Linked DNA regions of Rhinolophus ferrumequinum. The protein of the gene in region 1 purifies or fractionates together with the protein of each later gene. This does not show direct contact. Links are inferred from orthologs where the notes say so. Each region holds a gene or a part of one and is shown in the gene's direction. Other genes may lie near its edges.

Evidence for each region. Proteins that work in one complex are often made in the same cells at the same time.
Region 2: the proteins of JUNB (region 1) and ATF3 purify together in Homo sapiens (affinity purification with mass spectrometry; 3 studies listed by BioGRID and IntAct, counting the BioPlex papers as one, with this or other methods). This does not show direct contact. The link is inferred for Rhinolophus ferrumequinum from reciprocal best matches to the Homo sapiens genes JUNB and ATF3.

What each region holds. Positions count from the first base shown.
Region 1 is NC_046301.1:48,778,167-48,788,121, reverse strand, and holds JUNB (transcription factor JunB), read left to right. Parts: upstream 1-6,324; 5' UTR 6,325-6,619; coding exon 6,620-7,663; 3' UTR 7,664-8,158; downstream 8,159-9,955. UniProt on the Homo sapiens protein: Transcription factor involved in regulating gene activity following the primary growth factor response. Binds to the DNA sequence 5'-TGA[GC]TCA-3'.
Region 2 is NC_046305.1:19,764,620-19,775,495, reverse strand, and holds the start of ATF3 (cyclic AMP-dependent transcription factor ATF-3), read left to right. Parts: upstream 1-6,178; 5' UTR 6,179-6,279; intron 6,280-6,604; exon of another isoform or gene 6,605-6,621; intron 6,622-10,876.

The sequences.
Region 1 (9,955 bases):
CAGGAGTGAGTCCTTGCTAGTTAACCCAGTGCCCCACCCAGGTGCTCCGAGGCCTTGGGGTTCATCCCGTACACCCCTGCCCCTCCACACCGCAGGCACCCAGGAAGTGAGAGGCGGAGCAGGAATGAGGCGGAACCTGTTGGGCCCGTCGCCTCCCCGCCCCCTCCACCCTCATTCCCTGGCCCTTACAGGGCCCCCACGCTGCTGCCCCACCCCTTGCTGCCCTGGACGCCTGGGTCCTGACCTGAGGGTGGCCCGAGGGAGGGGATGTTGGCGGAGACAGCGTCTCGGGAACATCCTGTGGATGGCCGGCTGGACAGACCAGATGGGAGGGTCAGCCCCTCCCGGGGCAGGGCAGAAGTCAGCTGGGGGCAGAGTAAACATGGCCCAGGGTGGCCAGACTTGGGGGGGTGGCAAGGAGTATACACATACACAGTCACCCTGAGAGAGCCAGTCCAGACACACAAACCCCTGTCACCCTGCCACAGTGAGACTGCCAACTTGGGACACACTGACAGGGTCAGACACACACTGGGCAAAAAACCCAGCAATGGCTGTCACACAGACATAGTCAGTGACAGGACAGACTCAGGAACAAGATCGAAATTCTGCCAAACACCCAAGCCATCAACAGGCCAGAAGTATGCAGGCAGGGTGTGTGTGACACAGATAAATCAACTGGGCATACAGACAAGATAGACACACTGCCAAACACAAGCACAGAGAGACATTCAGGTGAGCACAGAGCCTGGCTCACCAAGTAGCATGGTTACATGCACTCTGAGACAAATGTGACAGGCCAGAAACACACAGATACAGAGATGATTGTGGGTTAGATACGAGTGACAATGCATGCAAGTTGACAGATTCAGAGAAAGGACAGTCACTTTCAGCACAAGCACCTCAAGAGCTTCATAAGACATGTTCAGACACACACTGTCAGATCCTGACACACGAGAAAGCAACACATGAGCACGCACACACACACACACACACACACACACACTAGCAAGATCACCAACTTGGAAAGACACTCAGAGGCAAAAGAGAAAAACAAACGTGATGAAATGGACGGAGAGGACATGTACACACCATGACAAAAAAGGCCCCTCCCCTGCTCCCCACACAGTTGCACACACTCAAAAGGCTTCAAGGGACACCAAGACTTAACAGATACACGCTACCACACTGGTAACACTCACATGTCAGATTCACCGACAGATGGACACATGCAAGCAGACAAACTGACATTCATACATGCTATGAACAGACAGTCACATCCAGTACAGAGAAGCATGGACAGGCCACAGTAGTGCATTCCTAAACACATTGGCACAGAGACACCCTGGCATCTGCACACACACACACACACACACACACACCAACCACAGACAGGCCATAGCCAGACATTCATAAACAATGGCACAGAGATACCTGACACACACACATGCACACACACCAGCCACAGAGCTCACACACACACAGACCTCACACAGGCAAGCCATGGACCTCACACACACACACATACACCCCAGACATGAATAGGTTAGCCATATGAATTCCAAAACAACACATGCATATATAGACCAGCTACATGCAACCTATTCCATAGACCATACACACACCTCACTCCCCCAACACACACACACACACACACACACACACACACACACACACACACACACACACACAACAGACAGACCCTATACACCCCTGCAGGGTTAGGCGAACACACAGACAAATGTACTGGGGAGACAGGCCTCACATACTCTCACACGCCCTGACAAGCCAGCCACACACAGATCCACAGCCGACCAGACACACGCACTCCTGGACCCTGCTGAGGTTCTGTGGGGCTCTAGGCTTCCCAGCCTGTCTCTATCCCCTTCAGAGATCCCAGCACTTACTTTCTCCAAACATTGCCCCCCACTTTCTGCCCTCCCTACTGTTTGTCATTTCCCATAGGCCCAAGTCAGCTGCCTCAGTCCCGGGTGGGCTGTGGGCCTGTTTTCTCAGCACATCCCCTGTAAAGGGGGCACACAGAATCTCAGTCGACTCAGGCCCCCCAAGACCTCACCAGCAGTGTGTGTGGGGGACAGAAACAGTTTTGTGGGAAACTCCCCTCATGCCCAGCTGAGTCAGCCTGAGGAGACAGCCTCTCCTTCCTGCTTCCAAGAAAACCCAGCAGCTTCCTCTCCAGCAGAGGGGTGAGGGACCCCCAAACCACAGAGGTGGGGGAGGGAGGTAGCTGGCAGGCCAAGGGTTCCTGGGGGAGGGCCTCTCTGATTCTCAGCCTCTTCCTGCCCAGCTGCCTGTCCACACCCAGGGGCAGGGACGCGGGATGTTGGGTGCTGTGACTTGTGGGTTCTCGCCCTGTCCTGCCCACCAGCTGACTCACACACAGCCCCCAGCCCAGTTTCCTGGTGAGGGCTCCACTGGTCAGTGGGGCCGGGGGAGGGGGGTCACCAGGCTATTTATAAGAAGGAGAAGTCCCTCATGTCAGGACCAAAAGCCCCAGAGAGACCCGTGGGTGGGGGTGGGTGAACTTCCCCCTTATCCTGTCCCCCCACCCCATGCCCTGGGCCCCTGGATGTGGGGGAAGCCTGGGCACAGAGTCCTCCTACAGATGCTGGTCTGGAGCCCAGGGGCTGGGCAGTCCCCAGCTGACAATCTGGGCACCCAGGCCAGGCGGGGGAGGGGGCTATCCTCACACCCTCTTCACAGGGCCCTTGGCGCCAGTGGGGCGGCGTGAGGGGGTGGTGCCCAGGCCACAAGGGTGAGACTGGCAGGGGCCTGGAACCGGCTGTACCAGCTCAGCTGGGCCCCCGCCCTCCCTCGCTGGCCTGATCCCCACCCCCTGTTCAAACACCCATGCAGAGTACATGGAGCCACCCGACCCCACTCCAACATGCTGGGCTGTCTCCCCACCCACCAGCATCTCTCCATCCTGTGCCCAACTCCATTGCTCTCCAGATTAAAGGAGACCCTTCATGAAAGGGTCTACAGAGCTTGGCATCCAGTTGGTACTGCATAAAAGCCTCTCTGCTTGTGATTATTCACAGTGTAGTGGCTAATGCTCTGGATCCAGACAGCTAGGGTTATATCTCGACTCCAGCACTTATAGCTGTGGGCCATCAGGCAAGTTCTTTACCTTCCTGTGCCTCAGTTTTCTTGTCTGTTAAATGGGGGTACATAGCATGCATTTCTCTGGGTGGTTGGAAGCAGGCAATGAGTTATTCTACGTAAACCACTTAGAAGAGTGCCTGGCCCATGATAAGAGCCATGTAAGTGTTAGCTATTAAAATAATAATTACTATTTCTCAGTCTGTCTGCCTATCTTAAGTGTCTGAATCTTGCTGTCTGTCTGCATGACGTTAACCTTGCCCCGGGTTTGTCTCTCTGGCCATCTCTCCCTGCCCTGACCCCTGCCTTCATACACCCACTTTTCCTTGCTGAGTCCTTGCCCTCCATCTGGATCCTCTCTGGGCTGGCCTCACCTCTTTCCAAGACTCCCCTGGCCTGGCCTGCCTCAGCACTGGCCAGGGCTGACTCACTGTGGCCTCCTGGCCTGTGAGACCTGCAGGTTGGCTTCGTGAGATGCTGCCCTCTGGCCAGACCTGCCCAGCCCCCCAACCTTGCCTACTGCACCCCCGCAGGGCCCAGGCCAGATGTCAGCTGCAGTTATTAGCATGGGCGGGAGACATAGGCCTTGGCAGCCTGCCGGCCAGACTCAGCGGGCCGCCGGAATCTCCCTTGAGCCTGGGGCGGGGTAGGGGAGCAGTTCAAACAAGGGGAGGAGGGAAGGGGGCAACCAGGGGTCACAAGGACCTCCAAAGACCAAAGACAAGGGACACCCCCAGCTTCTCATGGGACCTTCCTCCCAAGCACCACTGCTCTACTGGACTTCCCCCTACCCCCACACAGCTCAGTTTCTCTTTCACCTCTTTCGTTTTCCTTCTCTCCCCCACCATTGGTGAGCTCTGTGCCTGTTGTACAAAAACTGGCTAGCTCCATCCTCAGCCTCTACCCTAAAGAAACTTCCATCATTCCAGAAGATACAGGCCTCTCAGAGAGAGAGAGAGACTGAGCTTCTCACCTCTTGTTCTAGTGGCTCACATCCTAACTGCTTGGAAGTCCCACCTTAAGTCTAACTAGAAACCTCACCATCTAAACACCCACTCAGTCCTTAACTGGGGAAGGGGCTCTGGGTTTCCCCAGATTCTTCCCTTGGATTCTCAGGTCTCTTCTGACTGGAGGGAAGGGGAGCCCTCAGATAAAAGAGATATCCTGTGGAGGAAGGGAACCCCTCCCAGGTATTCTGGATGGTTGACGGAACCCCCAAACAAAACAAGAGTAGGGGCGCTTGCTCACATGAGTGAAGGAGGGGGCATCCCAGCCCCTAAGGGTGTTTGTGGGGAGGAGTCCCACATCTGGCAAAAAGGAAGGTACCCGCCCGAGGGAGGAGGCAAGCCTTGCCAGCCCGCCCAGGCGCCGGGGGCGCCTGGAGGCACTGACCCGCCTTCTCCGCGCCCCGTCGGGCCGGGGGCGAAGTCCGACCCAGGCCCGCGGACAGGCGGGGACCTGCCGGGCTGGGTCGGGCCAGGCCTAGCAGGACGCCGCCCCAGAGCGACTGGGTGGGGCTGGGCCAGGCGGCCGTGGGGGCCCGGAGGCGGCGGCCGAGGCTGGTCGGGACTAGCCGTCCGGGGGCCCCGGCGCGCCCTGGGACCTGGCAGATACCAGGGCTCCCGGCTCCTGGCTCGGGTCCCCGGGACAGCGCTGGCCCCACCCCTTCCTGTGCCCTTATATGGGCGTCAGGGAGAGACTCCCGGGGATCGCCCCGCCCCCAGCCAGCGCACGGACTCTGGCCTGTTGCCATAGCGACCAGGCCCGCTCTTGGGTGCGTCCCCCTCTGTCGGGCCAATGGAATAGTCCCCGAACTGTCTGCCTCCGAGATTGCGGGCGCCACGGGCTGAACCACATTGCTGGGCGGGGGGAACAGTGACTGGAGGCCTCTGCAGCTGGGCGTGTTCGGCGCACCCAGGCCTCAGCAGTGGTCGCGCTCCCAGGTTCCTCATCCGAGGCGCAGAACCCCGCCGGACCCAGGGCGGGGCGCACGGTCCAGTAGGATCCGAGTGACGGAGGCCGGGCTGGGCTCCGTTCCCCAGGGCTGTTGCCACATTTCCTGCCGCGAAGCTCTTCCCAGGCCTTTTCTAAGGAAGGAGTGGGGTTGGGTGACCGCGCCCAGGCCGGCGGGCTGGGTCCAAGCACCAGGAGCCGACTCGGTGTCGGTCAAGCCCACGGTCACTGGGGAAAGGCTTTGGGATGGGGACAGAGTATACAAAGACCTCAGCAGGAAGGTCACCCAAAAGAGGGGGCTCCAATCATGGAAGATCCAGCAGCCCAAGTCCCCAGGATCCTCAAAGACCCCGCCTTTCCTCATGTCTCAACCGGGGACCCTCTGTCATTGGCATCTCAGCTCTGAAAGTGTGCTCTGACCCTAATTCTACTTCATCAGGGCTTTGCAGATGTCTCCAGTGACCCCCTTTTCTACCCCACATATTTTCTCTGAGTCAGTGTACCCCAGGACCCTCACTCACTTTCTGCATATCTAGATTCCCCTAGTGTCCCCCCTTCCCATTTGTGGGGGACCCTCTGTCTCTCCCATGGACTCCAGGACCCCTACTCATTTCTTGCATAATGGGTCCTCAAGCCTCTCCCAGTGTACCCTTTTCATTTCTCCTCCTCCCCAATTTTCCTGGATTCAGTCGCTCCCATGAAAATCCCAGTCCCTCAACCCCTGGTACTTGGGACCCCCACACAATTCCTGTGTCAGGCCTCTCTTTACCCCTTCCCCTGCTTAACCCTTCCGTCTCTCTTTTATGGGGTCTCCTAGCGTATTCTCAGCTTTCCAACTCCTTTTGGATACTCCGGGTCCTTCAGGTCCTTCTATGTACAACCTGGGACACCCCCCCTCCCCAAACACACACACACACACTTGCTCTGTATCAGTTCCTCATGTCCCTCATCGCGTACTTCAGGGGTATCATCATCCACCCTGGAGCCCCTCCTCGGGTGCCTCGGACCGCCCCAGCACCCCCTTCCTCGCGCGTCCCGGGGTCCCCTGAGCCCCTCCCCCTACAGCATAGCCAAGCCACCCAGCCCGTGGCCGCTGTTTACAAGGACACGCGCTTCCTGACAGTGACGCGAGCCGCCTCCTCCCCTTCCCCACGCTCGAGGAGGGGGGCGCGGGGGCCCGGCTCGCGCGACGGCCAATCGGAGCTCACTTCCGCAGCTGATAGTCGTGGTATAAAAGCGTGTGGCTCTGGCTGAGCGGCCGGTACCTTGAGCGCGGCAGACCAGCGTCTGAGCAGCAGGGAACGGGGAGCAGGGGTAAGCGACACGGAGAAAGCGAGCGCGCCAGAGAGGGGCAGAGGGGCTGGAGAAGCCGCACAGAGCTTCCGCGCAAGGCGGCCGGGTGGCCTCTCCCGGCGGGTGCCGGCACCCAGGGCCGCGCGTCCAGACAGTCAGTCCAGCCACCGCCGCGGACAGAGCACCGCTCGCAGCAGCGAGGCCCGGGGCGGCCCCGCAGGGACCCCCCCAGACCGCCCGGGCCGCCCGGATGTGCACTAAAATGGAACAGCCCTTCTACCACGACGACTCATACGCAGCGGCGGGATACGGCCGGGCCCCGGGCGGCCTCTCTCTACACGACTACAAACTCCTGAAACCCAGCCTGGCGCTCAACCTTGCCGACCCCTACCGAAGTCTGAAAGCGCCTGGGGCGCGGGGCCCCGGCCCAGAGGGCAGCGGTGGTGGCAGCTACTTTTCCGGCCAGGGCTCGGACACAGGCGCGTCGCTCAAGCTCGCCTCATCGGAGCTAGAGCGCCTGATCGTCCCTAACAGCAACGGCGTGATCACGACGACGCCCACGCCCCCGGGACAGTACTTTTACCCCCGAGGGGGTGGCAGCGGTGGAGGTGCGGGGGGAGCGGGGGGCGGCGTCACCGAGGAACAGGAGGGCTTCGCCGACGGCTTTGTCAAAGCCCTGGACGACCTGCACAAGATGAACCACGTGACACCCCCCAATGTGTCGCTGGGCGCCAGCGGGGGCCCCCCGGCGGGGCCTGGGGGTGTCTACGCGGGCCCGGAGCCGCCTCCTGTCTACACCAACCTCAGCAGCTATTCCCCAGCCTCTGCGCCCTCCGGAGGCGCCGGGGCCGCCGTCGGGACCGGGAGCTCATACCCGACGGCCACCATCAGCTACCTCCCACACGCGCCGCCCTTCGCTGGCGGCCACCCGGCACAGCTGGGCCTTGGCCGAGGCGCCTCCACCTTCAAAGAGGAACCTCAGACCGTGCCTGAGGCGCGCAGCCGCGACGCCACGCCGCCAGTGTCCCCCATCAACATGGAAGACCAGGAGCGCATCAAAGTGGAGCGCAAGCGGCTGCGGAACCGGCTGGCGGCCACCAAGTGCCGGAAGCGGAAGCTGGAGCGCATCGCGCGCCTAGAGGACAAGGTGAAGACACTCAAGGCGGAGAACGCAGGGCTCTCCAGCACTGCCGGCCTCCTCCGGGAGCAGGTGGCTCAGCTCAAACAGAAGGTCATGACCCATGTCAGCAACGGCTGCCAGCTGCTGCTCGGGGTCAAGGGACACGCCTTCTGAGCACCCCTTCCCCGTACGGACATTCCCCCAGCCTGGACGGCTGGGCGCACGCCTCCCAAGGGGCAAGGGGGCAGGCGGTGGGCACTTGCCCCGGGGTATGGGGGCGGCGAAAACCACACTGGACTCCTGCCCGCCGGCTCTGCGCCCAGTCCTTCCACCTCGACGTTTACAAGCCCCCCTTCCGCGTTTTTTTGTATTTTTTTTTCTGCTGGAAACAGACTCGATTCATATTGAATATAATATATTTGTGTATTTAACAGGGTGGGGAGGAGGGGGCGATCGCGGCGGAGCTGGCCCCGCCGCCCGGTACTCAAGGCTGCGAGGACTCAAGGGAGGGGCCCCGCCCCCTGCCCTCCCCCCCTGCACCGTACTGTGGAGAAGAAACACGCACTCAGTCTCTAAAAAGTTTATTTTAAAATGTGTTTGTGTGTGTGTGTGTGCGTTTGTTCTGACTTTTTATTGAATCTATTTAAGTAAAAAAAAAAAGGTTCTTTATTAATTTCTGTTGTCTTTTTTTTCGAAGCCGGGCGGGCGGAGGGAGGAGAGTGTTGAGCTGCCCACACCCCACTGCTGTTTGTGGCTCGCTCCGGTATTTGTGTCCCTTCGCCAGCTCTGCCCAGGCATTTCGCAGCTCCAGCCCGGGTGTCCAACCCTCCTCGCGTACCCTGATCCCGGGGGCTGGAAAGTCCAGGGCGCGGACCGGGCCCAGCCTCCCAGGACCTGGGAGCAGGATGCCTGGGGCGAGATGTGCAGTGCGCAGGCGCAGCCCCGTCCACTGGCTCGGGCCGGGGCTTTCCCCGCTGACGCAGCGGAAGCGCTGCCCATATATGGGCCGATTCTGCCCAGTGACGCGACGGCGGTCTCCGGGCAGATTCCGGGAATCCCCTCCCCCGCTCTGCCCGGCAAGGCCGCGGCGCCCGGAAGGAGGCCGGGATTTTCCCAGGCGGGTGGCTGCTTGGGCCCGGAAAGCCCCAGGCCTGAGTCCAGAGCGTCCACGGTGGGCGGGCCGCGCTCTTGGGTCCCGGGAGCCACCCCAGACCCTCCCTTTTCTGGCTGGCGCCCAGGCCCCGCCGCACCCACGCTGTCTGACCTGACCCGGGCGGGGGGTTGCTGTAGTCCGCATGTCCTTGCTGCCGCGGTCCCCCTCACCACCGCCAGGAAGGGCGGTGCCCGTCTGCCAGTTTCCTTCACGGTGCCAGGCAGGGAGCGGGGTGACTGCCAGGTCTGGTCCTGCCGGGGCGGCTGCTCAGGCCGCCCGGCGCAGCCGCCGCCCTCGCTCGGGGCTCCCTCCCCCGCAGCTGGGATGGGTAGGAGGGCAGCTGGTCAAAAGGGTCAAGCTGGCCTCGGAGCTGGAAGCCCCCATAACAGCCGAGAAAAACAGGCGGAGAAACCAGGCCAAAGGGGTGGGGTAGGCAGAACAGACACTTCATTAATTCATTTATAAACTTCTGAACAACACGGCCCTGGAGACACAGTCTGGACCACAGGAGACAGATAATAAACAAGGAAACGATTTGGAAATGGTGTAAGTTCTAGGAAGAGAAAACACAAGTCAAAGTGGTAGTGATGAGGCAGGGGAGATGAGCGGCTTTGGAGAATGGATTGGGAAGGTGGACCTTTAATGAGACCAGATTTGAAGAAGCCAGGTTCTGAGAAAATCCTGCGTAACAGCGTTCTGGGCAGAGAATACCACATGCAAAGTTCCTGTGGCCAGAACAAGATCAGCCTGTTAAAGAACAGTAAGAAGCTAATGTGTCTGGAATGGAGTAAACCAGGAGCATGGAGATTAAATATGGGAAGACCACACGCAGGGACTTGGGGAGGAGTGTAGATAATATTCCAAAGCTGAGATGAGTGACCTTGGAGGGTATTAGGCTGGATAACAATATTAATAATGGTTCTATGTATTAAATGAACATGTCCTATTCTGTGGAAGGAAATGAGGTCTGAGTGGCGAAGCCACTTGCCTGGCCACACACAGCATCAGACTACACTCCTGGAAATACTACCTTGCTCCTGACACCTGCCTCCCAGCCTAACCATCACCTTTCCAACTTGTGGTGGGGCAGAGCTTGCCTACTGTGCGTATAGCTTAAGCTCCCACTCTTGGTTCTGCTCTCACAACTGGGTCCCCACCCTCTTTCCCATAAGACTGGACTCTTCTTCCAGGCCCAGGAACCATCGTAGTAACCATTCACTGGGCCCTGACCTTCACACACTTGCTCTCTTAATGTGCATGGTGATCTGGGTTGGTTGTTTTTATTCCCATTTTCCTGATGATGAAAGCCAAGA
Region 2 (10,876 bases), on another chromosome or scaffold:
CTTCAGAGCCTTGAAATAGAAAATTTTAACAACCCAACCATTAAAAAAACGTACTCATACTACCATTTGACACTCTCTCAGTTTATCTTTATATTTAACTCTTTTGTAACATCCAACACCCTTCATCTAACAAGGTCAAAGCCTCCCCAAATGTTGTTTTATAAGCTGTCCATGGAGACAAACCCTGTGAAACCTGAGGATACCACACCAACAACAGAATGCAGGTCACTGTGACAGGGCAGCCCACTCTGCAAAGTCCAACTTGCAGTTCACTTTACGCTGACAGAGCTTCTTTCCAGAATTCTCTCCCTTCCCTCCCCGCAAAGAACGGGTGAGTGTGGATTTCATAGGATGTCTGGCTTTTATCCGGTTCCTGGCCGGTCACCTTGGTATGTCCCGGGCTCCGGACGGATCACCTGGATTTTGTGGCATCAGCGCTGGGTCCTCAACTGGTGACCTTCAGGCCCCTGTGCTTGGCTTGACCCTAGAACGGTCACCGCCCTTCACAACACACGCGGCACCTTCCCACTGCCAAACGCAATTCGGACTTGGCGGTTCAATGGGGGGTCCCGGACGCCCCCAACCCGCTCTGATGGCAACGCCAGCTAGGCTGCGGGTTGGGGGACGGCTCCACGTGGCCACTCCGTCCGCCGGGCCCTCGCTGAGCCCAGCTCCTGTTCTGACTGTAGCTCACGCCACTCCTGGTCCACCAGGGAACCTTCCAGAACCCTGGCTCTCTCTAACAAGTACCCAGTCGCTGTCCAGGAGGGAAGCTTGGTCCGTTTCTTAAGCGCCTACTCTGAGGCAGGCAAGTTCGGGGCCGGCTCTCACGCGAAGGGGGCGCTTCGGGCCCCGCCTCGGGAGGCCCCCGCTCCTGCACCTCCAGTAGTCCCGCGGGACCCGCCATCTGGCCGAGCTCCGTCCTCCAGGAAGACGCACGGAGAGCCACCAAGGGACCGAGAGAACCGCGCCCCCAGCCCCTTAGTCCCCTCTGCTCCTCTTTACCTCGCCTGACCCCACCAGAGCCGCCGGAGCTAAAATTAGAAAGCAGCGCGATACGCGCTCACGTGCCCCTTGTCTGGCAGGGCCGGGGGCGCGGTCTGGGTGAGTCACGGCCCCGCCCCCACTCGCCGAGGACGCACTGACGTCAGCCGCTTCCCTGAAAGATGACGTAAGCGCGCCAGGGGGAGGCCGCCGGGCTATCCTAGAACGTTCACATGCCTTAAAGGGCCCAGGCTTCTGATGGAAGATCTGAGCGATGACTCCACTCACCTATCCATAGAATCAGAGCCCATCTTATATCCCTTTCTACTGACAAGTGTTGACTGTTGAGATGATGAAAAAAGGAGAGCAACTGAGCCTCATTGGAGGCTCTCTGAAACCTCAGAACCTCTTCCTGGAAGCCCTCCTTGATTAACCAAAGTGTGATCCTGCCTCAAAAAGTTTTTCCATGGCCCTTGACTCCCAACACCTTCACTTACAGCCCCTTCTCTCATGCTTGTACCTCTGCTACTACATAAAGGCTGTGGTTTGACTGTTTATTTATATAATCCCCATCACCTTGGGCCAGCTTGGCCCTTTTATCACTGTTTTTGACTGTGTCCAAACTCTGTCATCAGTAGTGTGACCTGAAACAAGTTAGTTAACTCTCTGGGTGTGAAATTTGTTAACTGGTGTCCAAACATCTCCTCTTATGCTAATGTTGCCCGTGGAAGCTTCTAGAGGCAGGAACCCTGTTCAACAGTTGATCATTCAGCATTATCACAGTCTCACAGGGAACTAAAAATGTACTGAGGTTTACTATAGGGCAGATATTTTCATTACCCTCCCACAGCCCCTCGTGTAATCCTCCTAGCTCAGAGGTTGGTATTACCATCCCCATTTTATTGATGAGGAACATAAACCAAGGCACAGCAAGGTGAAGTATGTTTCCCGAGGTTACACAGCTAAAGAATGGCAAACTGGAAGTCATTCCCAGATCAGTTGGACTCCAGGTCTATGTTTTTGGAGATCAAGTTGGGCTATGAAATGTACGTTTTATTCTCGATATGTGGAGTCCCCTAGAACAAGCTTTTTCCCTTTTAACACAAGCCCAGTGCCGCTGCACAAGTTACCCACTCCATGCCAGAAGACCCCCAGAGAAGGAAGTGCCAGGCCTCAGGGTAAGGCAAGTGAGGACGCTCACTCTCAGGTACTTCCTGCACTTGACCAACTCTGAGAACAAGTCTTTAAGGTGGGCACTCCAGGCACCTCACTCACCCCACCCTAGTCCCAGCCATGCCAGGCCTTACCCTTGACTCGGTGTTTCCTCTCTTGAAACTAGAGCGACCACCCTGCTTAATTAAAGTGTATGCACTGGCACATCAGGGGCCCGCTCTACTCAAGTGCAGAAGTGTTTCTCCTCCATCATTATCCCCTCTCTATAAAGCAAACGAAAATTTCCGGTTGGAATAGCATAGTCCTGCCGAAAACAAATGAGAGACAACAGCTTCTCAAAGTTTTGAGCAAAATGATGGGGACTGTGTACCAGAAATGGAGCCAAGTGGCTGAGGTGCGGTCCCTGTTATCTTCCGACAATCATTACTAGTCCTTGGCTGAGAGTCACAGCCCCAACCTCAGGCTACACATGCCAGGTCTACCAGGAGTACCTTCCTCCCCCAGCTCACCTCATGGAGCCATTTAAAACGGACCCCTCTTCCCTTGTACCCAGCCTCCAGCCACCACCGAGCTCTCTTCTTTGTGTACCCTGGCTCCTGTCCCCTCTAGTGGAGTCACTGCCCACTGCTCTTCCTGTACTGCCAGGCTTTCTGGAGCCTGTCCCCAAACACCTTGCATGTGCTCCCACCGCAGTCTTGGGAGGAAATGGAGAAAACCACAGGCAGCCTTAGCTGTGGGGGCAGCGGCTTCTTTCTCTGTACTGGAGCTAGACACACAGACATGGGAGCTTAAACCAGTATGGTACCTTCAAGCCAACCAGGCCAGCCCCTGTTTTATAAATAACGGACTAAGTAAGGTCCAAGTGCGGTAACCTGCCTGGGGTCACTTGGCCTGTTAGGTAGAAAGCCCCAGTCACCTGCATTGCAGCCCACTGCTCTTTCCATGGATCACACCTCTGTTATAAGTCTCAGGTGGAATGTGGGCATAAATGTGTATGGTAAATTGTAACATGTCATAGAAGGAAAGAAAAATGGGGAATTGAAGTAAATATAGAGATGAAGCCACTGGGAAGAATTGGGGAACACAATTTCTGAGGTCCCCTGGCTGTTTCTACTTCCCCTTTCGTCTCTCTCCCATTCAGCCTCAAGATAGGTGAGGTGGTTATTTTTCCTCAGGAATCGTTTCCCAATGGAATGACATGATGAGTTGGATTGCCATTTTTAAACCTTCAGTAATCCAGATCTTATGTGTCATTTCAGGTTTTGATTTTTTATCTCCCAGTCTTTACTTCCCATCAGTTTCTAATCCCAGAAGCCCCATTAAATATCGTTAAAAGCCATAAATGTAACTGGCCAGTAATGTGGAAGGATTATGATCTCCAGCAAACAACACCAGCAAAGAAATGAGCAGGAATCCTGGGTCTGTTCCCAACTGTGCCACTGACTCACTGGATGACACAAAGCAAAGCTTTGCTTTTACAGGGGGGGAGGGGTGGACATACACACACAGCTGCTGACAGAGGTGGAAGGATGCGGGAGAAGCCATTGGGCAGGCTTCCAACATAGTGGAAACTCAGAGGCTGAGCAGTGGTCCGCAGATCAGCGCTGGGTCAGCCTGAGCTCTGTCCCACTTAAGCGCCTGCCTCGGATGGAGCCACCAAGATGGCTTGGGCTGGATTAGAGCACTTAGCCTTCATGACATCATTCTCATTGGTTAGGAATGCACCCTGGTTATTCCTAACTCCACTTTAATAACTTGTTATAGATCTGCCCTCCAGGAATGTATTTGAAACTTTATTTATTTATATTTCAGCCTATGCAGCCTTTTCAGGCAACAAGTAGATTTACCATTTATGTAAAAGCACTTAGGTCCTAAAACACAGAAAGTGCTACATAAGGGTTTTTTATAATAATATTATTAATATTATTATAAAACAATATACTAACAATCATAATAATAATCCTACAAGTTTGAATGTAAAGTCCCTAATTAAAGGGGCACCAATAATAGGCTCAAACCCCAGCAGGAGCGAGGCTGCTCTGTCTATGGAGTAGCCTGCTTCTTTCTTCTCTTTTCCTTGATTAAACTTATCCTTCCTTTACTCTCAAAAAATAAAATAATTATATTATACTGTTATATAATAAATATAATATTATAACTTGATGATAGTAATAATTCAGATGGTCTCATAGGCTTATTTTCAGTCCTTCACTATGTTTGTCTTTTTTATCTCCATGAGCACACACACTGCTGCCACCCCTTGCCAATCAAAAGTATTTATTAATGGAGTGAGGTGTTGTGATGGGCGTAACTCTGCATACAAACTTATGTAAACACATTCAGTGTCCTCTAAGGACTTACATCTAGGACCAACATATAGTAGGTGCTCAATAAATACTTGCTGGCTAGATGGATGGATAGAATTAAAAAGAGAGAGAGAGAGAAACCTGTATGGTAGCTGGTGAGACATATTTGGAATAACTGTATTGGGGGCTGGAGGGAAACATGAGAGTATATTGGCACAGAGGGAAAAGGGAATATCCTGATTTTATGGTAGGTGTGCATGGATGAGCTCTCCATAGATCGGCCCTAGAACTCATCCTGGAGGAATAGCTGGTTCCCAGGCTGCTGAAATAAGCAATGGATGCCAAAGGGGTGTCCTTCCGCCTGTCACAGGTGCTGTGTAGATGGCAGGAGAGAGGAGGCAGGTATGAGCTCCAGAAGAGGATAACCAGGTTCTGTGGCCATCTCTGCTTTCAATATAAACCACACTAGAATGAAGTTCTAAAATCCAGGTGATTCAGTAGGTGAAAGGACAAACCACAGTATATCTAGACCATGGAATGTTATTCAGCACTAAAAAGAAATGAGTTATCAAGCCATGAAAAGATATGGAGGAAACTTACTCGTAAATGCATATTACTAAGTGAAAAAAACTAATCTGAAAAGGCTACATATTGTATGATTCCAACTATAGGACAGTCTGGAAAAGACAAAACTATGGAGACAAGATCAGTAAAAAGAGCAGTGGTTACAAGGGGTTGGGGGAGGGATGAAAAGGCAGAGCACAGAGGATTATAATGGTGGATACATGTTATTATACATTCGTCCAAATCCATAGAATGCACAACACCAAGAGTGAACCCTAATGTAAGCTGTGGCCTTTGGGTGATAATGATGTGTCAATAAAAGTTCATCCATTGTAAGAAATGTACCACTCTGATGGGGGCTGTTGACAGTAGGGGAGGCTGTGCATTTGTGAGGGCAGGTGGCTCTATGGGAAATCTCTGTACCTACCGCTCAATTTTGCTGGGAACCTATAACCGCTCTACAAATTAAATTCTATTTTTAACAAAATCCAGGTGAAGTGATTGCAGCTTTCGGCATGTAGGTTTGGTTCACTGTGGAGTCACAGAGACTTGAAGTGGAGTCCCATCGTGATCAGCTCTGTGACTTCTGGCAAGTTGCCTCTGATCTCAGTTTCTCCTAAACCCACAGGACTGTAAAGCCTTCGTCAGAGGGTTTTGAGAATTAAATGAAAAACGATGTGTAAAGAGTCTAACCCAGTACCTGGGATATACAGCATGGTAAATATATACAAACCCCCACCCTGATTCCTCCCTAATGACTGATTATTAAACATTCTGATGGTTACTAATTTCAAAGACAGGCCAGTGGAGAAAAGCTGTCTTGTGTAAAGTGACCTTTTACTAGAAAGGGAATTTGTGTGTGGCAGTGGGCATGTGTCTTCCAATGCTCAGTCAGAGATGGTGGCTGCAGAAGGTCAAACATGAACTTGAGCCCTGGGAGGCAGTGTCAAGCCCCTCACTCAGCTTTCTCCTGTGAAAAGGTCAGGATGATGGAAGGCTGTCATATTTAGATGATGGCTCGTAGGGAAGCCTTGGTGGGTTAGTCACCTATCTATGACTTCATATTGCCACTCAATATAGTAACAGCTGTTGGTTGCTTTAGGGGGCAGGGGCGGGGTCAGTTTTTGTTGACTAACCATACCTCCAGGATAAATTCAATAGAATCAGCCGGGAACACATGACAAAGGAAGAGTCTCCTCTAAATAGGATGTTCCACAGTTTTCTAAGGATTTTCGGCAGCTTCCCTCAAAATGTGAGTCTTGACTTTTCTTTGCCTTTGGGGCCAAGCAGGAAAAGTGTCATGGGAGAAAGATGTTTGGTCAGGAAGCCTTCAGCTGGGGGAATATCTACCATGCCCTGTAGAGGGTTGGGAAAGTGAGAAGTTCTGTGCACCAGCTACATGATGTCTCTATGGCACCCAAAGAAGTGGACGGAGGGAGGGGGGTTGAAAAGGCCTGGAGTTAGGGTGCTGCAGAATTTTTGGGTTGCACTAGGCATTTTATCTCTTACAGGTTACATAACAACCATGGGGCCAGATCAGCACCCCACTGAGGCACTGATGTTATCTCAGTCTTTGAAATTAGCCAGCATGAAGGTATAGTTTGACGATACCACTGATTGGTGCCGTAGTTAACTTGGGGTATTGATTATTCATATCATAATGGAAAGCCACTGGATTTGGTTCTCCTCTTTGGCATCTCTGTGGGGCTTTGTGCTTTGGGAGTAGAATGCTTTGAATCAGCATTGTAAGGTGCATGGGTCAACTGGGAAGTACAGACTCGTATCTAAACTGGAATAAGTCCAGAGTGAGGAAGGAGAAGTTAAGAGAGAAAAAGCCCTGGACCAGGGGTCAGGTGACCTAGTTTGGCAACTGGATGTGCCACATTTCGAGCCATGTGACCTTGGGCAAGTCACTGCCTCTCTTTAGATTTTGGTTACTCCTCTTGTCTGTGAAAATAGTATGTGTGCACTTGCAATCCTTCCAACCTTCACTGGCATGCTAGTCCTCTAAATGTGGGTTTGATGTTGTGTTGTTGCAGAGTAGAAAGGACCTGGGGTCTGAGTGTGTGGCTCTGCCACTCACAATGTGACCTTCACAAGGTTTTCCCACTTCCAAAATATGGATTATTATGAGACAGGGGTGACACAATGAACCTGGAAGCCTTTTTGGAGGCACTATGTAAGTGTATTGAAATGATGCCCTGAGGTTGGAAGAGAAGGTGGGGTAAGGTGAGCTGAAGGGGACAGTTAGGGTTACTTATTGGCAGGTCAGACTGTGACCGGGGCTGGGAGCATGAGGAGGTGGGGGCTGTGGTCAGCCAGGCTATGAAATACTCCAACTGTGTCCTGCTCAGTTCCTGGTCATTTCCCAGCAGTTCTGGGAGGGGAGACAATTGAAAGGTTGTAAATGATGCTGAAAACAGTCCAGGAGAGTGGCTGCAATCTCTTGTCTGAATGGGCACAGCACCAATGCAAAGAGGGCAGTGGGGGAGCCCCGCCAGGGTCTGGAATCCTGGGTAAACGAGCAGCCTCCCATTTCCCATGGATGTTCACGGTAATATTCCTGCACTGTGTACTTCCCACGGGCGCGAAAACACCTCCCAGAGGAGTCCTGGAAATAACAGATCACAACTGTATACTGAATACCAGACTGATCAGTGTCGACTTATCCCTTCGGGAAAATCACAGACCCTCTACAGAAACTCGCTAAATTCCTTGTTCATTCTTCACGTAAATCGATTAACCTAGGGTTAGGGATTTTACTTTGCCTTTCCCTTTCATGTTCCCTGAGAATGAAATTGACTACACCTTTGAAGCTGTTCTTTGAGTCATGGACAAAATGTCTGTACCCTTCCACCAAAAAGGGGTTTCTCTGTTTTTGATTTTTTTTTTTTTTTTTTTTTACTTTTGAAGCACCAGACACTGGGTGGAGAGGCTGGTAGAAGGCACGGCTGCCATAGGAGCAGCATGCTGACCTGCTGACTCATCTGACATTAACATCATTATGTTTCAGGAGTCAAAGTGATTTTCAAACTATGAGTAATGCCGGTATTAGAGAGAATGTTTACAAAGCAGCGGGCATTTCAGCACACTGGAGAAACAGAGCAGCTGCTAACAGCTGAAATGAGTGAAAAATTCTCCTAGGAAAAACACCCTTTCTCTCTGGGCTCTCTTTTGAAAAAGATTCAGACAGGAAAGGCAGGTGATCTCAGAGTTCCCTGAGGAGAGATCCAGATGTAGTATGCTTATCTGAATACCTGGATGTCCGATCGTTTTATAAAAGAAAGACTTTTTTTTTATAGTTTTGTTTTCATTTACCCAACCCTAGGGAAAGATGGATTTAAAGACTTCAGCAAATTACTTTTTTAAAGCTGAGGTTTGATCAGTATTAATAATTACAACAATAGTCTAACGTTGTGTGAAGAAATGTGCTGTTTCTTCAAAGGCAAGGACAGAAACAAATGATTTCCAAGGTGGGGAACAGAAGCCCATGTGGTCCATTGTTAACGTTCCTTTGTGGAATTAGTAAGAAAAGTTTGAGAGCCACTGAGCACAGTGAGCCAAGTATTTACACCTCAGGAGAACAGAGAGGGGCTCCAGTCTTGTTCCAGAGCTGTGTCTTTCCCTCACCTCCATTTCCTTATCTCGTACTGGCAATATGAATAACACCTGCTCTGCCTACCTCACAGGAAGGTAGGCCTGCGAAGGCAGGGACAGTGTCTGCCTACCACTCTACCCCTAGTGACTAACCGGGAGACTCGGCCAATAGTAAGTGCTCAGTAAATATTTGCAGAATTAACAAATGAGATAAGAGCTTTGAATGAGATAAGAGCTTTGAATACCAGAACTCCGCTCTTCTGTTTAGTTGGTCTTCCTGTCTTTAGTTCCCCCTTCCCAGGGCTGGATGGGGGCGCTTAGCAAGTGGGGCTGTGCTCCGACACACATCTACTGAAAGTACTAGCTCTAATAAGGAAAAAAAATCACTGCTCTTATCCTCGGGAACTAACTACTAAAACTGGATGAAAACTCCTTGAGAAAAGGCTCATTCAAAAGCATCGCAGTCATTTCAATTTGTTTATATGTTGGAGGTGAATCAGGAGACCTGTCCTGCTCAATTTCACCTGCTGCTTCTTGAACTGCAAGGATCACAGCAGGTACAATGACAATTAAGTCAACTCTGTGTCTGGGCATTACGAAGGCAGGTGAAGGATAAATGAGTTGGATTGGATTAATCGTTAAAAAACAAAAGTTCCATTCTTGATATGTGTTGAAAGGAATAAAAGAAAGAAGAAGTCATGAAAAATTAATCCTGCCACTTTTCTTTTCCATGGGAAAAACATCCACTTGATTTTACCGTGTTTCCCCGAAAATAAGACCCACCCGGACAATCAGCTCTAATGCGTCTTTTGGAGCAAAAATTAATATAAGACCCAGTCTTATTTTACTATAATATAAGACCAGGTGTTATATAATATAATATAATATAATATAATATAATATAATATAATATAATATAATATAATATAATATAATAATACTTATATAATAATACTTTTATAATAAAAGTTAACATAAGTTAGTCTTATATTAACTTTTGCTCCAAAAGATGCACTAGAGCTGATTGTCCGGCTAGGTCTTATTTTCAGAGAAACAGGCTATATGCTAGGACATATTTCTAAATTTTGATAAGGGCTTACAAGTACAGCTATAGCGTTTTCCAAAATCCTCTCTCTGCTCTCTTGTTCTTTCCATTCCTACTTTCGGCCTCTGTCTACTTTCCCCGCTTCCTCCATCCCTAAGTTAACGCCTTCCTTTCGTTCTGGTTCCCATGTTGCTTCCCTCCTCAAGCATCCCTTCTCATCTTATAAACTTTCTTACAGCTTCTAGCAAGGAGTCACTCACATTGTGAGTGGTCAATAACGTTTTGAAAAAATATATACAAAGGAAAAATCATGAACTAATTATGAGAGCTCTTATATATAAATTGGTAATTACTGTTAAGCTACCAAGCTTAATCACACACAAAAATACTCCTGTTCACTTGAGAATGTCTTTGATGAAGCTGTAAAATTTAATTTTATCAAATCTCATTCCTTGAGCACGTGACCTTTGAATGGTCAACGTTTGCATCATGGAGAAAAGGGGTGCCCCCCCAGGGAAAGACACACCCTGAAAACCCTAACCTGCCCTCCACTGAGAGGCCCAGGTTTGCTTTTTGTGGACTGCCTGGATTGACTGATCTCTCCTCTCTCCACCCATTAAAATAGTAGTGTTAGGCTTACTTCAAACAGTAAATATAAACCAGTACATTCATGACTAACCAATTCAAAATGGTTGTTAAAAGAGAGGCAGGATCTGTGGTCCCACCCCAAACGTCTGAGGATGATGTCAGGAAAGAAAATGTGTGCGTTCCCAGTGGATGTCATTTGGTGCTTCTGCCCTAAGCACACTCTCCAGTGGGGTAAATCCAGGCGGGGGGCCTGTCTAAGGTTCTGAAACTCCACTACTCCATTTGTATCAGAGCTGCCTGGCCAGGACAGTCTTGATTTCACATCCTCTGCCCCATTGTTCCTATAAGTACACGAATGCTTGTCAGGCTAGGAACCCTATTTTGGTTTGGACAGAGTTACTGTTCCCTAAGGTATCACAAGTAAAAAGGTTCCTCATTTTTTAATCCTGATTTATCTTATATTTATAAATAATTTAATATTCATTTAATAGTGTTATTAAGTTAATAGCAGGTTACTGAACATTTGAGATCCAAGTGTTTAACCATATATTCTAAAATAAATTTGGCTGTTTAGAACCCTCACATAATAAACTCATTCTAATGCCACCCCCACCCCATA